3 linked regions of the Caenorhabditis elegans genome follow. The protein of the gene in region 3 interacts with the protein of the main gene of each other region in a pairwise test. Each region holds a gene or a part of one and is shown on either strand. Other genes may lie near its edges. The genes, in order: syp-3, syp-2 and syp-1.

Region 1 (4,299 bases), on a different chromosome or scaffold from region 3:
ATGAAAATCGAATTTAAAGAAATGTCTCCTAAATATCATAGAAAATTTAAGAATCCGTCAAGCTAGTTCTAGTTTTATTATTCGCTAAAATCTTATCAGGCATCCATTCAGGTTGCTTTGCGGTTAACGAAACTCCATCAGCTGTCAATTTTTGAGATTTGAATGAAGAAAGTTGAAGAATTCCCAGGCAACGAGTTGTGTCAGAAGAGATAATCTGAAGATTTTTTAATTGAACAGAAACTATTGTTTTTCAATTTTTGACAGTGAATTGACTCCAGATAATTCCAACGTTTAGATGAATTTTTTATCACTATAACTTTTAAACACACCTTTCCGACTTTATTTTTCTTCTCGTCCAGAACTTCTGCTCCAATTTTGACTTGACCTTCACATTCAAATGGTAAGATTCGTCGACGGATAACACCTGTCAAAATTTAATTTTTCAAAATCAAATTGAACTAGTTTTGTGGGTTTTACAAAAATTTAATTGACAAGTTACTAAATAAAAAGGAAAGTGAGATTTCACGTCTCCAAATATCTAAATTTAGTTGAAGTAACCTGTATGAGCAGTTCTTGCAGTTAATTCCTGTCCAACATAACATCCTTTATCAAGTGAAACCATATTGAGCAGATCACCGTTTGCCTTAAAAAATAATATTTGAAAATGAACTTTTAGAAATATTTCATTTAAATTGCTTCTGTTGTATTTTTACCTGAAAAGGAAGCAACTCCGCCAATTCTTGAGATCCTTCTGCAATTCCAGCAGATCGTCGCAAATTTTCATATTTTTCTCGATTTTCGCTAACTTCCGATGAAGACGGATTACCGAAAACGCGAGCTCCAAAACCAGAAAATCGAGGATCGCGGTGAGCTAAAATAAAATGTTATTAAAGTTTTGACGTTCATTTTCTACCTTGTTTGTCCGATACATCTTCTGTGAAAAATATTTGATCGGAAGATTCGGTGATTTCAACTTGTTTCCTCAATCGATATTTCAAGATTTCTTTTGTTAAAATAGTTTTATTTTCTTTAGAACATTCCAAGAACAAATCATCAGTTCCTCGTCTCCATAGAAGAACATCTTCAACAATTCTCCCTTTTGTGTTGAGCAAAAAAGCAGCAAGTCCATTTTGAGTTTGAAGTTTTCTGCAAAATAAGATGTAATCATTTTCGCTGTAATTTTTAGAGTATAAAAACATACGTCACATCATTTGTAATTAAACCTTGAAGAAACGCGTTTGTGTCAGAGCCATGAAGTTTCAAAAGAACTCTATGAGGCAATTTAATTAATCTTTGTGTTGACATCTGTAAAAAAGTTTGATAATCACAAGAAAACATATTAAAATATGTTAGAGTAAATTTCGCAACGGGGATGATCATATGGCCGTGCCGAATAATTTCGTCCGCGGCCGCAAGTAGAGCGAGGAAATTTGAAAAAGAAAACAAGCGCTTGGATTAGCAGCAAACTATTTAGGATGAAGCACCAAGTACGTCGCATTGAAAGCTGGGAATAATTATAATTTGCCTAAGCTTGGGACAAACTACACTCAAAATAAAAAAACTGCGTGGCGTGTACTGCAGAAAACCTCATATTTAGGCCCCGCCTTTTTCTCGTCCACTCACGGAGTGGAGGCAAAAATTTGGGGACCAACCAATATCATGCCGCCGACATCCTACGGGTTCCGCGCGCCGCTATGTTTAACTCGCAGCGGGCGGAGACAGCTCGCCACGCCCACAGCGAGTTAATCCTAGCGGCGCGCGGAACCCGTAGGATGTCGGCGGCCTGATATTGGTTGGTCCCCAAATTTTTGCCTTTTGTCCGTGAGTGGACGAGAAAAAGGCGGGGCCTAAAAATGAGGTTTTCTGCAGTACAGGCCACGCAGTTTTTTTATTTTGAGTGTAGGTTGTTGCTTAAATTTAATAAAATTAATTTGAATTAAAAATTGTCGAAGCGAATACATATTTAAAAAATGAATATTTTGTGTGTTTAATGAGTGAATAAAAATAAAACTGTTCATGAAAACATACGGTTTAAAGGCTCACGTTGTTCTTAAGTCATGTGGGTCTCGCAACGATCGCAAACACGCTACGGTTTTTTGTTAATTTTAAATATTTTTATTTTCTATTGTGAATTGGCCATTTCAATATCTCCAATTTCAGAGATAAATGAATTTCGAAAAGCTTGTCAGTCAGGCAGTAAATGGTGACCGATTCAAAATTTTCTGCGGGCAGCTCACTGAGTTCACCAACTCGCTCGCTGGGGAAAGAGGTATGTTTTGAGGCAAACATCAATGAAATATGAATTTAAAAATACATTTTCAGAGGCCATAGAAAAAGGAATGAGGCAAATCGAAACTCAACAGCTTGAAGGTTTGACAGATTGAAAAAGGCTCAACTTTAAAATTTTCTTCAGCCGAAACTTCATTCACCGAGCGAATTGCTGAAGACAGGGTTAAATGTGCTGCTCAACGAGAAAGTCTAGAAAGACAGCTTCAGGATTTGACAGCAACTGACAATAAACTGTCTGAACAGAAAAGAGACTGGGAAGAGAGACAAGAAAAAGCCTATGATGAACTAATGTCTTATTTGGAAAACGAGGATGTGGACAGTGCGGGTACACAGTTCGGAGATCACTTCAATTCATTAATTAAATCGATGAACAACTTGGTAAGTCTGCTCGATAACTTTATAATTTTTAAAAAGAGTGGGTTTCTGAATGTTATATTTTCAGTCACATGATTCGATGAATGGTCAATTCAATTCACTCAAAAACAATCTGGATGAATTAAACATTGAAAGTAAGTTGAAAAAAAATTTTGATGGTATTATCAACTAAACTTGCAGAGAAACAACTAGAAGTCGCCATCGCTGATCAATCATCGACTATTTCTGAAATGATTCCTTCTCTCCGTCCAACATGTGGAGCGACCTACAAAGAGCGCAACACTCTTCGCATTATTTTCCATTATCAAGTTGCCAAACTGCGCAGTGAGTACCAAAAATGTCGTCTACAAGAAGAAGCTCTGAAAGCCCGACTTTCTACATGAATTAAAAGAATCAGAACAGCCAAAATGTGGGCAACTGTTAATCGAACTGTAATGATATTAAAAATTGAATAATCTTTTTTCAAATCGTTCTGTTATCCTAAACTTTCATCATGTCGAATGCTTATCATGTAATATTTAATTTTATTGCATCAACCGTTGTGAAGTTTTAATAAATTATAGTCCTGGATTTCTCGGCCTTCTTGAATTATTGGCCCGAGCGATAGCTTCCGCAAATGTTTTCGGAGGTCCTTCCGGCCAATTGTCCAAGTCCATATCCATAAAATCGCATGTATTCGTTCGAAATACAACTCCAGGCGGTAGAGGGTCTTCTTGAAGTTGTGAAATGGGTGTTCCTTGGATAGTAGATTGAGTCCTAAAGTAAGATGTTCCTATTAATTAAAATTCACAATTTTGGGAATATGAATAACTTTCCCTTTTTCGAAAGTCGTGCTTCAATAATGAGACTAACTTACTTTTCTACTGTGTGGTCCTCTTCTGATCGTTTTCCTGCATTTTCCAAAGATGCCAGCTCAATGATAGAATACTTTTTAGTACACGGCGTAATCGTTTTAAAGTGAAAATGACTGAGAAATTTAAGAATTTCACTTCTTGAAGAGTGGTCGGAATATGGAATTCTAATGATTCCCTCGTCGTCGTTGACACCATTTCCAAACGTATAATAGAGCATCGATATGTCGATTATCACCGAATTTTGAGATATTTCACAACTAAAATAAAGGATTATTTGATGTGTTTAAAAATGGAAAGCCGTACTAGCTTCCTTTTTTGATAACTTTAATATCTCGATACTGTTTCAAAACTCCACAGTTTGATGAAAAGTCTAATAAATCTGAAATAACTTTTCTTTCATCATAAACCATAATGGGTTCATTCAATATTCGAGATATTGCTTGAATCAATTCTTCACGCCCAAGTCTATGCAAGGGAATAACAATATTTTCATGCGGATGTGCTTCAATAGCCTTCAGGAGTCTAAAAAATTAAACTGATTAAAATTTAAATAATAGCGAATTATTAGATTTCTTACATTTTTTCTGCCTCGCATCGTTCAGGAAACGGCATATCCAATGAAAAATAGGTGTTATCCAAATAAATAATTCCAAATTTTATTTCGGTCATCCAATGCAATTGGTTTCCTGGTTTTAGACTTTCCAAAAACATTTTATCTGCTCGAAAATCACCAGTGCACAGAACAGCACCGCCTGCGATTTCTTCAATTTTTGATCCTTCG
Region 2 (4,796 bases), about 11 Mb from region 3:
GATAGATTCACACTCACTGAATAATACATTAATGGTGAAAAATTTGACAAAGAGTGGAATATCTTTTGTGAGTTTTTTCGCCCTAAATGATATAGAACAGTTTGAGTATACCGAAGTTGTAAAAAATATTATTTTTCTAAATTTTTATGACATATGTTTCAGTTTTAAAAAAATATATCGAAAGGACCAAATGAGATGCCTAATCTTAATTTTTGTTTGCGCTTTTCGGCTGTATTATCACTTATACGCTTGAACATAAACATTGTCGCCATATCTCATTGGTCTCGCCACGAGGGCAACGTGTTTTATTACGGGAACACAAAATTCAGAAAATGCGTATTGCACAAAATATTTGACGCGCAAAATATCCCGCAGCGAAAACTACAGTAATCCCTTAAATGACTACTGTGGTGCTTGTGTCGATTTAGGGTTTTGAGATGAAAAAATTCGAACATCGAGCCCGTAAATCGACAGAATCGCTACAGTTGTCATTTAAAGAATTACTGTAGTTTTCGCTATTATATCTTTGGCGTCAAATATGTTGTGCAATACGCATTTTCAGAACTTTGTGTTATCGTAATACAGTAACTCGTTATCCGCGTGGCGAGACCCATGCGCATAAGATATCGCGTTGATTTTTCCATGTTTTTTTCTATGTTTTGTATTTTAATTTGTCGGGAAAAAAATCAATAATCGAAGAAAAAATGAAACAAAAATCGATAAGTACAGCCGGAAAACGTGAAAAAAATCTTCTTGGCAAACTTTTTTCTACAAATCAGTAAAAATTTAGAAAAATTCTATAATTTTTTTACACTATTATTCGGCATAATAAGATTTTTTCTGTTATTTTTGGGAAAAAAAAACACAGACGCTACTCCACAAATTGCATAAGTATTCAAAAAAAACTTACCGTTCATACTTTGTGAAACATTTATCGAGTTACAGTCAAAAAGAGTAAAAGGAAACTACGCCATCGGACAATTGGTGGATTTGCATAAATTGATATTTTGAAATTCAAATTTTTCAAGTTTTTGTTTCATACGTTTCATTTTGTCCTGTGTCCTATGCGGCGGAGGCGTAATGCATTCTGTGAAAGTTGAGTGATGCGAGTTTTTAAACAAAATTTTATTCATTTTGGTCAAATATGGATTTTGGATTGTTTTTTTTTCAAAAAAAAAAGTTCCCATATTTGAGAAAGCAATACATGCAATACGATGGACAAACATTAAAATGATACATGTCATGTAATAAAACAAGGAAATTGAATACAACAGATGATTTATAACTTGTCAGCCCACGGCTCGAGCGTTTCAACCAAATCCAGAAGTTTGTCGTAATGAGCAGAGAAATCTTCCGAGAACCCATCGTTGTTGATTTTTGCATTATTGATTATTTTTATAGCCGCCTGAACATCATTGAGACAAGTGGAATGATGCGATCTGGCGTCAACGCGCTGAAATTTTTAAATATATATTTACTAATTATCTAATTCTTACATTTTCGAGTGTTTTAGACCAATTGTTGGCTTTCTCGACGAGCTCTTTTGTTTTTCCTTCTAGAGAAATGAGCTTCTTTGACTGTTTCTCCATTTGGTCGCTGAGTTTACTTTCGGCTAATGCCATATTTGCGATACGTTCGATTGAATTTGCCAGCTCCATTGTCAGATCTTGTGTCATTTTCGCCTGCTTGATCATTTTGTGTTCAATTTCAGAAACGTCATCCAATATGTCGCTTTGCTTACTCACAAGCTGAAATAAATTTTAATTGATTTATTTTCTGAATAACATTGGATCATACTGAAATTATATCGGCCACATCATGAGCAGGTTTCGATTTCTTCGGCGTGGAATGCATAGTTCGAAGATTTTTCGCTTTTGCAGGTTGTTTAGTTTGGGCCGCCACAGTTACTGCAGCTGTTTTCTGTGAAGAAGACACTGGAGATGCGAAGCTGACTCTCTAAAGATTCAATATTTTTAGTGAACCAATAAGAAGACTTCAATTACCCGGTCATCTTGGGGTCCTGGCCGCTTTTTGAGCGAAGATCGATGGGCAGAATTCATTCAAAAATTCTCAGAAGCGAAGTTTAAAATTAAAAAAAAAGAATAATGGAATCGAAATGGAATTTGGTAAAGAATTCACAAAAACTACGGTATCGGTCATTTTCCATGTGTTGGTCTGGCAACGCTGTGGAATTATTTTGTAATGCGCCTTTAAAGTTACAGTAGTACATTTTTAAATGCAGATTTAATAGTTTTCAAGGATTTGTTTATTGAACCATCTGCTTTTCAATCATGAAATAATTTAAGACTTTTTAATGCTTTCAGTTTACAGCTGCCTCGCATGCATGTATCTCAAGAATGATCACTTGTTTTCTTGATTTCTCTGTTGTAACGACGCTCCGCTCTAACGCATGCGCATGTTGTTTAGCGAATCGCGGACGCAAACCAATTTTTATTTTCTTTCTCAATTGCCCCTCTTTGTGCTCTTTTTCGCGAGTTATTTCCGATATTTCACAATTTATTAATACACTTAGCTCACGAGGGCGACAGTTCATGAATGTCTCTTCGAATTTCTAAATCTTTCAGTCGTGCGGTTCGTTTAAACGTTTATGAGCCGTCTGAAGTTTGTTCGTGTCGGGCTTCCATTTTTCGCAATCGTCTTGGGTAGCGCGTACGGACTTCACTTTTTCCAACAAGTCCGATTCGATTTTCGAAAAATCAAGCAAGAAGACGATAATCTTGAGCTCTTGGTGCGTTTCGTTTCTAGAAAATATCTCAACCTATTAACGTGTGATTTCTACCCTTTTCTAATTTTTTTTCTCATTTAAACTCTAAATTTATTGTTTGCAGAGGTCAGATTTGACAAGAAGCGGTCTGCGTCTTCGCGAAGGAGTCACTGTCGAGTCAGTTTATAAAGTGGGTTTTTGAAAAAAAAAAAAGATCTTTAATAAATACATAGTTTTAAGGAAGTCGCTGAACTTGACACGGACAACTGGGAAAACATCCGAGGTCCAAGAGATACTGAAGATCTCACCGACTATAACCTAATCAAAAAGCAGCAACAAGAAGCTAGTCGCAAAGTTCGAGAGTTGAAATCTAATGTCTGAAAACATCCCCGACATTGACCCCAACGAGCTCCTTCCAAACGCGCCAGGACAACATCAGGACCTTGGAGTTGATAATCCTCCAGAACCAGATAACGCTTCAATCCGAGCAGAGAGAGGTTCACCGACTCCGTCGTCCGTGACAGTCGACAACGCACCCTCCCTGCCGGATCGGTCATTCTCGCATTTACCAATTAACGATCCTTTCAGCGGAGAAATTCCAGAAGTATGTATATACTCACAGACTCCTCGGCGCGATATTACGGCGCGTAGTTGTCTTCTGTAAATCCCGATATTTTCACAATTTTCAATTGATTTGAGTATCCATATCCGCGGTAAAGCTGATATTTCTCTATTAAATAAAAGAAAAATAAACACCTGCAGAATGTTTTCAATGAGCAACCCTTAATGTAAAAAATACTCGTACAAAAACCATAATTTTTATAAGATACTATTATAATAGTAACATTATGTGTTTATGAACATATTTTAAATGAAAGTTAGCAAAAAACAAGAGCTAGAAATGATTGAAAGGCGCATCCAAGGAGGCTGTGAATTCTAGCTTCAATAATCTGATAATAAAAAATAATTTCCAGGTGCCGATCCCATCATCTGCAATCTCAATCTCCAGTCAAGCTTTATCTGATCCAGTTCCCACACCATCCGACACTTCAAGACCTGGAATTCTTCGCAACGACGAGCAAGGTTCGACATCCAGTCATCCAGTCGATCCACAAGAACCTAACGAAGTTAACAACGAGTATTTGGCGCATCTTCTCGATTTAGGATTCGACGAGTACACTGCAGTTCTTGCGTTGAAAAGAACGAATAGCGCCGGCGTTGAACAGGTGCCGTTTATTTCTTTATGTTTTGCGCTAGAACACATTAACTTTAATTATGTTAATAACACGCATGAAATTATGTTTCATGTATATTAAACAGATCTCATAATTGTCTCTCATATTTCAGGCAGTTGCTTGGATTGTTGAACGTTCCAACGAAAGCGATTTCGACGAGGATTCGAGTAGCAGTGAGAACGAAGCAGACGAAGAAATGGGAGCTGTTCAATCAGTTGGTAGGAATTTTTCATGAATATATTCAAATTTTAATTTAATTCTTACAGCCGGACGTACCCATAAAATGGTTCTTGTCGCCAACATGAGTTTGAAAATGGGAACGGGAAAAATTGCTGCACAAGTTGGCCACGCTACTCTCGGAGTCTACCGTCAAGCTATGAACTCTGAAAACGGACAAAATGCGATCGCCGCGTGGACAAGACATGGTCAGGTTAAAATCGTCGTGAAGGGACAGAGCACGGAGCAACTGATGGATCTGTGTAAAGTGGCCAAGGATGCAGGATGCTATTACTATCTAGTTCAAGATGCTGGTTACACCCAAATTCCGGCTGGTTCAAGAACTGTTCTTGGTATTTTTGGAACTGTCGAGCAAGTGGATTCGGTCACAGGAGGACTCAAATTGCTCTAGATTTAAATTATTTTTTATAATCTGTTTGCGTTCTCGTTTTCTCCCCATTTATCTCCCCATCAGTACATTGTTTTTAACGATGGCAACGATGAATAAATGGAAAAGTGGTTTTCACTGTCAAATATCGAATTTCCGGTATTCATAGAAAGTAACTTGAAAAGATCGAGCCGCAATAAACGAAGCCAGCGAAAGAGAAAGTCATTAAGCC
Region 3 (6,724 bases):
TTAATATTTATTACGTAAACGTCTAATCTTGCCACGTTTAGTTTTTTAAACTGTATATCGTGTCGAGTCCATGAATATAAATATAAATAAAACCGTTACAGTAACCCGTTGTCGGCGTGGCGAGACCCTTGAGCGTAAGTTATGGGGTAAATTCTCAGTTTCAGACGTCTAAGTAACAAATAAAATAAAAACCAGTAAGATGTCGGCTGCCAACCTTATCCCCTCGAAGGACCCGTCTGCAATCCACATGTCGAGTTTCGGGCCGTTTGCAATAGAACCTTCGATCTTTACAATATTTATCCATATTCCTCAATGCCTCAATCATTTTCTCGTAAACGACAACTTTCCGGTCCGCCGATAGATAAGGATCTAAAGAAAATGTACTTTTCAGAGAAACAAGAAGCTCGAAGATCTCACCAAATTCTCCATAGAACAGATTGAGGAGTGTTGTGGGAGAAACTAAGTAAATTATAAAAGTAAATCCCAAAATAAGTAGAATAACCGAATAGGGCAATTGTCTTTGTTGAGACATTTGAGGTAAGTATGTAGATAAAGTCTTCCGCCGCCTTTGCAAAAAAAATCAGATTAAAAGGGCGGAAAAATTGGAGGAATGTCTAGTGGAAGGCGTGCATTGTGTGTTGACCTGTGGGAATTAAAAAAAAAAGTGTTTGAACTTAGACAAGACATGCGAGAACAATTCCCGTTCAAATTGGCCAATTTGTCGGGGAGTTTTTTTGAAAAAAGATTCTTCCTGCAATTCGAGAAGAATTGAAATCTGGTTTTTTCTCTCTCGTTGCCGCAAATTACTTTATATAAAACTCTAAAAACACAAAAAAAAATAGCACAAGATTGAAATGGTACATAGTCGTTTCTTCCCCACACACACATTATTTCTTCCCTCCTCTCTTTCGGCGAACATCTGCAGTATGAGCTTCGGCTCTCGTTTTAAGACGATCGGCCGCACGAGTTCGTTTCAACGGTCTGGTAGCTGCGGTAAGTGGTGTGCTCGTCATCAATGGCGCCGAGAATACATCATGAGACACTTGTCGGTGTACTGGAGTAACTTCTACACTTGGCTGCGGCGGAACTACTCGATCTGAATAGTCGGATTCCACGATATCGATGGTGTCGTTAAATTGATCGCCGTTTGCAGCACGTTGTTCTTTAATCTGAAAAATGGAAAAAAAATTAGTGAACAATTTCCGTTGAAAAAACTATCGAAAAATGGGGTAAATTTTGAACCACAATAAAATTTTCTTGTTTCATAGCGAAATTGGTTCTTTTGGGCACATTTTGAGTCTACAAATAACTCTGTATTAAATTCAAAAATTATTATTACTTGATTGAACAACTTCTCGTGTTCCTTGGCGGCGTCCTTGATTTGCTTATCATAGTCATTGATTTCCAACTGCATAGCAGAGATCTGAACAATAAAAAATTATTGGTTACAGTACTATATATTTAAGGAATAACCTCTTCTTCAAGATCACTCTCCGTTTTTGAAGATTGGAGCTGCTCCAGTTCCTTCTTTCCTTTCTCTAGCTTCTCTTGTTCTTTAGCAATTGCTTTTTTGAGACTGGTGATTTTCTTTCGATCTGATCCTTTAACTGTATTTGATTTCTTCTTTTCAGCAATTTTTCGACGAAGAAGTTCGATAATTGATCTTTTGCGCTCTTCAATCAATTTCTTATTCTCGATGTCTTCTTGTTGACGTGCCTCATACTTCAATTTTAATATTTTCGTATCCTCCTTGATCTTTGAGAGGGAAGCTTTCAGCTGTTCATTTTCCACTCGAACTTTTGCAGTCTCCGCTGTGATCTTTTCGATTTCCTTTTCAATTTCAGTCGTTTTGTCTTGCGAACGGCTTGCTTCGAATTGAAATAGCTGAGAACGGAGTGTGACGCAATCTTCCCTCATTTGCTCCAACTTCTCCTCTGATGCTTTGAGATTCAGTTTTCCCTCTTCGAGCGCTTCTCGGTCTTGATCTGAAATTTAGAAGAACATTTCATATTTTCTATTTACTGAAGAATTTAATACCTTGGCGAATTATCATTTCATCGTATTTCGCTTGCATCATTGCGCACGACGAATTCAGCTCCACCAATTTTTCATGTTTCTGCTTGGCTGCCATGATCATTTCACGAAGCCTCTGAAAATATTCAATTGATAATTTAAAAAAGAATATTCAATAACTAACCTTGCACTCATTTTTAGCTTCTCCGTTATTACGAGATTGTTCGCGTTGAATTATCTTAGTGAGCTCTCTTTCACGACTAGACAACAAATCTTCGAATTTGGATAACTCATAATCCGCTTCATTAAGACTTTTCTCCTTTTCGCCTGATTGTAGCTTGGTGCGATCTGGGATGCTTTCTGAAATTGGATATTTTCAGTGATGATTTTCAAGAAAAATTGAACATTTTCTCACTTTTGACAGAGACAAGTTGCAATTCGATCGACTTGCACGACTCTTTGAATACGTTAAGCTCCTTCTTTATATCATGCATTCGTTGCGACTCGGTTTGAACTTGAGAAGCCAGCTCGCGAGATTTCGCCGCCTGCTCATCAGTTTGCTCGCCTTTATCTTGCTCAGTCTGCTCGTCAAGCTTCTCAAGAACGTATTGCTGTGTGAGCATGATCTCATCGCGAAGAAAGCCTGACGATTGGTCATCAACTGGTGTCTCAATAAGTGCTTCAGTGGGAGCGTCAACCCAAATTGTGAAGTTATCCATTGCCAGAAACCTGAAAATAAATATTTATAAGCATTTTCGGCAAAAATTTATATTAAAAATTGGAAAAATCGAAGAAAAAAGATTGAAAAATGAAGAAAAAAACTTTGTAAAACGGTTTAAAATTTAAAGAATAATTTTTAAAATATTTTTTTTAATATGAGCGGAGGCCGCAAACACCGCGGCGCAAATTTGCAGATTGCCTACAGTAACTTGAGATTTTGTCAATGGAGCGCGTTTTGTTGCAGCTATTTTTTTCAAGATTATATGGTTTTTTTGCTGTAAAACATGACAAAAACTGCAGAAAACTTCGTAAAATTCAGGAAAAAAAGACGGAAAATTGAACAAAAAATCAGCGCTGATTTTGAATTGGTTGTGCTCCTTTGTGATTTCGAACATTAGCTTTTCATTGAAAATATAATTATTTATTGAAAAAAGTCCGTAAGTAAATATTTAAAATTGTCGTGTCAAGACCCTGTGTCCAGCTCCTCGAAATACAAGTAATATGATTTATTGTTTAATTGTGAATTTGAAAAAAAACATAAAAAGACGAATGTTACACGCATTGGAAATCCAAAAAAAAATATTCACACATTTCTATAAGTAGATTATTCATGTTTCACTTGAGATCATCAGAAATATCACTTTTCGAACTATTCGACAGATCACTCAACGAAGTATCATCATCATCATTGTAATCGTACACGGTGATCGGATCAGTATATCGTGGAGCCATTGGTCCAACAGGTCCCATTTGGCTGAACGGGGAAGGTGCTGGAGCAGCAGCAGAAGGAGCCGGTGGGAATGGTGCAGAAGTAGAGGGTAATGCGGTGAAGTTGAACGAGTGTGTGAATTGAAGAGCCGGAGGTTGTAGTTGGAATGGTTGAAGAGTTGAAGCTGTCGCCGGTCCAAAGTAGAAATTGCTGTTGAATGGCTGAAAATTTTTATTTATTTCCGAGACGTGAAATTTTGTGATTTTTTAAAATTTTTGTTAAATTTGAAAAGGTGTGCGCCTTTAAAGATTACTGTAGTTTTACGGAAAATGGGAATTTTATTTTAGATTTTTAAAAATTTATTCGGAACACTATGAAAAATCGATGAAGAAATTTTGAAAATACAGTAATCCTTAAAGGCGCATACTTGTTTTGCACTTTACAACAATTTTCGTGTCGAGACCGGCTACCGTAGGGGTTTAAGCCAAGAAATGCAGGATCTTCTGAAAACAAATGCACACTTCTCCACGAGGAGTACACGGGCCGCGTAAATCGACAGAACTGCTCTGACAATTTTTGGAATTTGAATTACCGCGAACTTGGCGCTAAGACACGCCCATTTTTCCGTGCCGTACTTTTGTAATTTTTTGAATTTCGAAGGAAATTCGTATTTTTCATCCATTTTTTTTTAATTGTGACACTTTTCATGTAGATTTTTACTCGGAGAAGGTATTTTTTTGTATTTTTGACGTTTTTTAGGAAAAAAAATTTGAAAATACGCAAAATTCCCTCTCCGAGTGGAAAATAACATGAAAAGTGTATTTTTAAGAATTTAAAATTTCTTCAACATCAAAAACGCAAAAAAAAATCGGCAAAGAAAGACAAATTTGCGTCGAAATCGAAAAAAAACCAACAGTGCCGCACAGAAAAATGGGCGTGGTTTCACGCAGTTTTTGTACCCCTCTAGGAGAAGTGTGCAGTTTTTTTTTGCTGGAATTCTTAATTTTAGTCCGTTTTTGCTAATTTTTAGCATTCAAATTTGCTAAAATTCTTGCTGAAAATCGCAAAATTTCGCTGAAAATCGCTAAATGTATAGTTTTTTAATCATAAAATACAATTTTTGACGATTTAATGCCAAAATTTGCGAAAATAGTCCAATTTCACTGCAAATTTTTACCTGAAAAACTGGCACCGAATTCTTCTTTTCCATCTCCAACTGCTCACATCTCTTCTCAAGCTTCTCACATTTGCTCCGATACTTTTCCATTTCCTTCTTAAATTGATCTCGTTCTCGGCGAAGCTTCTCCACATCCGACACGCTCGGCATATTTAAATTGAAATTTTCCATAGCATTATGCACATAATTTTCCCGTTCAATTCGCTCAGCAACTCGCTTTCTTTTCCGTTTTTCTTGTCGCCGAGACTCTTCGTGTTCCCATTTTTGTAGTGTAAATTGGGTGAACTCGTAAATCGAATCTTCACTTGGATATTGATTTTCTGGACTAGAACGATCGAGGTGAACTCGTCGCCTTTTGAGATTTGGTTGATCAAATGTCGCGTCAAGGTCGAGAGTTTCATCGTGATGAAGTTTTGGAGTTGTTGTAGTTGGTGGTGGTGGTGGAACAGGAGGTTCAGATTCAGTAAATCTATAGGGTTTTGGTGATGGACCGGGTTGTAGCTGAAAAATATTTGATTTTTTAAAAAAATTGGGTTTTTTATTTTAAAAAATTGAAAATTTCAGGTTGTTTTTTATGAGAAAATACAATTTTTCAGATTTTACAGAAAAATTTAAAAAAAAACATTTTTTTGGCTTTTTGGATTTGTATCGCGCTTTTGAATTGAAAAAAAAGGCATTTTTCTGATTTTTTATTGGAAAACTCGAATTTTTTTTGGTATATTTTTGTTGTAATGGAATTTTTCTGACTATTAACCATTTTTCTTGTCTTTTTATCGGGAAATTTGAATATTTCTCGATTTTTACATGATCAACTGGAATTTTTAAAGTTATTTCATTGGAAAACCCGGTTTTTCTGGATTTTTTCGTTGAAAAATCTAGATTTTCCGTTTTTTTTTGTTAAAAAATTGAATTTTATTCTGAAATTGGCTTTTTTTGTGTTTTCAGCGGAAAATATGGATTTTAATAGATTTTTAACTGGAAAATTCGAATTTTCCTTGTGTTTTCATTGAAGAAAATCAAAAATTTTCCGCTTTTTAGTGGAAAAACCGGATTTTTCTAGATTTTTCTTATTAAAACTGAACATTTTCTGGATTCTTCCGTGAAAAATCAGGATTTTAAGGTTTTTTGAGGAAAACAAAGAATTTTCTTGAAAAAGTCAATATTTTCTGGTTTTATAGAGGGAAAATCAGAAATTTTCCGCTTTTTTATCGGAAAATTCGAATATTTCTTGATTTTTACATGATAAACTGGAATTTTTTAAAGTTATTTTATTGGAAAACCTGGTTTTTCTGGTTTCTTGTTTAAAAAAAAAGAATTTTTCTCGGAAATTTGCCGATTTTTTTTGGATTTTCAACGGAAAATAGGGATTTCAATAGATTTTTAACTGGAAAATTCGAATTTTCCTTGTTTTTATTGGAAAAAATCAGAAATTTTCGGGTTTTTAATAAGCAAACGCTAAATTTGGCGAATATTTCAAACAAAAAGCCAGTTTCCGGCTGCTGGGAGGTGACAAAAAGGAGATTTTCGCAAAATTCAATAATTTTTATTAACAAATTCGCCCTTACCTCTGCATAATCATCATCGTCGTCGAAGAGCTCTTCTTTTTTCGTTTTCTTACTTTTGAAGAACTTCCGCACAATTCCAGCCATTCTAAAATCGAAAAAATTATACAATTATATTCAAAAAAAAATATATTATTGTGCCCCCGAAAAATCGATAATGACCGCGCGTAGACAGACAGTGTCGCCGCTTGTAAGAAGGCGGATCAAAGAGAGCCGACACCTCTTCCCTGTTGCGGTGTGTGTGTGTTTGGTGAGGGTGCAACTGGCTGTTGGGATTATAGAGTCGGATAATCAAAGAATACCGCCTGTTTTCGCTAATTATTGATGTGAAACAACCGAAAAAACACAAGTTGTAAATCATCTCACTTTAATAAACTATGAAAACAATCCGGTTATTGTCGAGGTGATATTGACATCGGATTTCTGAAAATTTACTATATTATTAAAAGTAAATTGTTATAAAGCAATTAAAATGCAAAAAAAGTGAAAAAAACATCCAAAACTATAGGAAAAATCGTGTTGGAAAAAATAAATTAATTCGAA

The links.
Region 1: the proteins of syp-1 (region 3) and syp-3 interact in a two-hybrid assay, tested with the Caenorhabditis elegans proteins (one study listed by BioGRID).
Region 2: the proteins of syp-1 (region 3) and syp-2 interact in a two-hybrid assay, tested with the Caenorhabditis elegans proteins (one study listed by BioGRID).

What each region holds. Positions count from the first base shown.
Region 1 is NC_003279.8:8,661,982-8,666,280, reverse strand, and holds syp-3 (Synaptonemal complex protein 3), read left to right. Parts: upstream 1-2,160; 5' UTR 2,161-2,166; coding exon 2,167-2,269; intron 2,270-2,322; coding exon 2,323-2,370; intron 2,371-2,413; coding exon 2,414-2,667; intron 2,668-2,731; coding exon 2,732-2,798; intron 2,799-2,844; coding exon 2,845-3,047; 3' UTR 3,048-3,221; downstream 3,222-4,299. Other genes in the region: F39H2.3 (Aminomethyltransferase folate-binding domain-containing protein), read right to left, coding at 47-214, 330-424, 559-643, 714-871, 914-1,146, 1,202-1,305; mrt-1 (5' exonuclease Apollo), read right to left, coding at 3,222-3,420, 3,521-3,775, 3,822-4,040, 4,096-4,299. UniProt on the Caenorhabditis elegans protein: Plays a role in early meiotic events; during prophase I contributes to synaptonemal complex (SC) assembly, synapsis and chiasmata formation and stabilization of homologous chromosomes pairing.
Region 2 is NC_003283.11:5,534,033-5,538,828, reverse strand, and holds syp-2 (Biogenesis of lysosome-related organelles complex 1 subunit 1), read right to left. Parts: upstream 2,343-4,796; 5' UTR 2,061-2,342; coding exon 2,004-2,060; intron 1,957-2,003; coding exon 1,798-1,956; intron 1,749-1,797; coding exon 1,497-1,748; intron 1,454-1,496; coding exon 1,280-1,453; 3' UTR 1,112-1,279; downstream 1-1,111. Other genes in the region: cft-1 (Cystic Fibrosis Transmembrane conductance regulator homolog), read right to left, coding at 1-29; cox-16 (Cytochrome c oxidase assembly protein COX16 homolog, mitochondrial), read left to right, coding at 2,609-2,749, 2,850-2,915, 2,966-3,106; C24G6.8 (putative peptidyl-tRNA hydrolase 2), read left to right, coding at 3,099-3,329, 3,700-3,951, 4,073-4,178, 4,227-4,588.
Region 3 is NC_003283.11:16,401,771-16,408,494, reverse strand, and holds syp-1 (uncharacterized protein), read right to left. Parts: upstream 4,222-6,724; 5' UTR 3,664-4,221; coding exon of another isoform or gene 3,349-3,663; 5' UTR 2,733-3,348; coding exon 2,429-2,732; intron 2,374-2,428; coding exon 2,198-2,373; intron 2,150-2,197; coding exon 2,038-2,149; intron 1,986-2,037; coding exon 1,474-1,985; intron 1,424-1,473; coding exon 1,340-1,423; intron 1,170-1,339; coding exon 888-1,169; 3' UTR 794-887; downstream 1-793. Other genes in the region: F26D2.3 (Core-2/I-Branching enzyme), read right to left, coding at 215-369, 418-532; F13A7.14 (BZIP domain-containing protein), read right to left, coding at 3,349-3,663, 4,620-5,120, 6,185-6,268.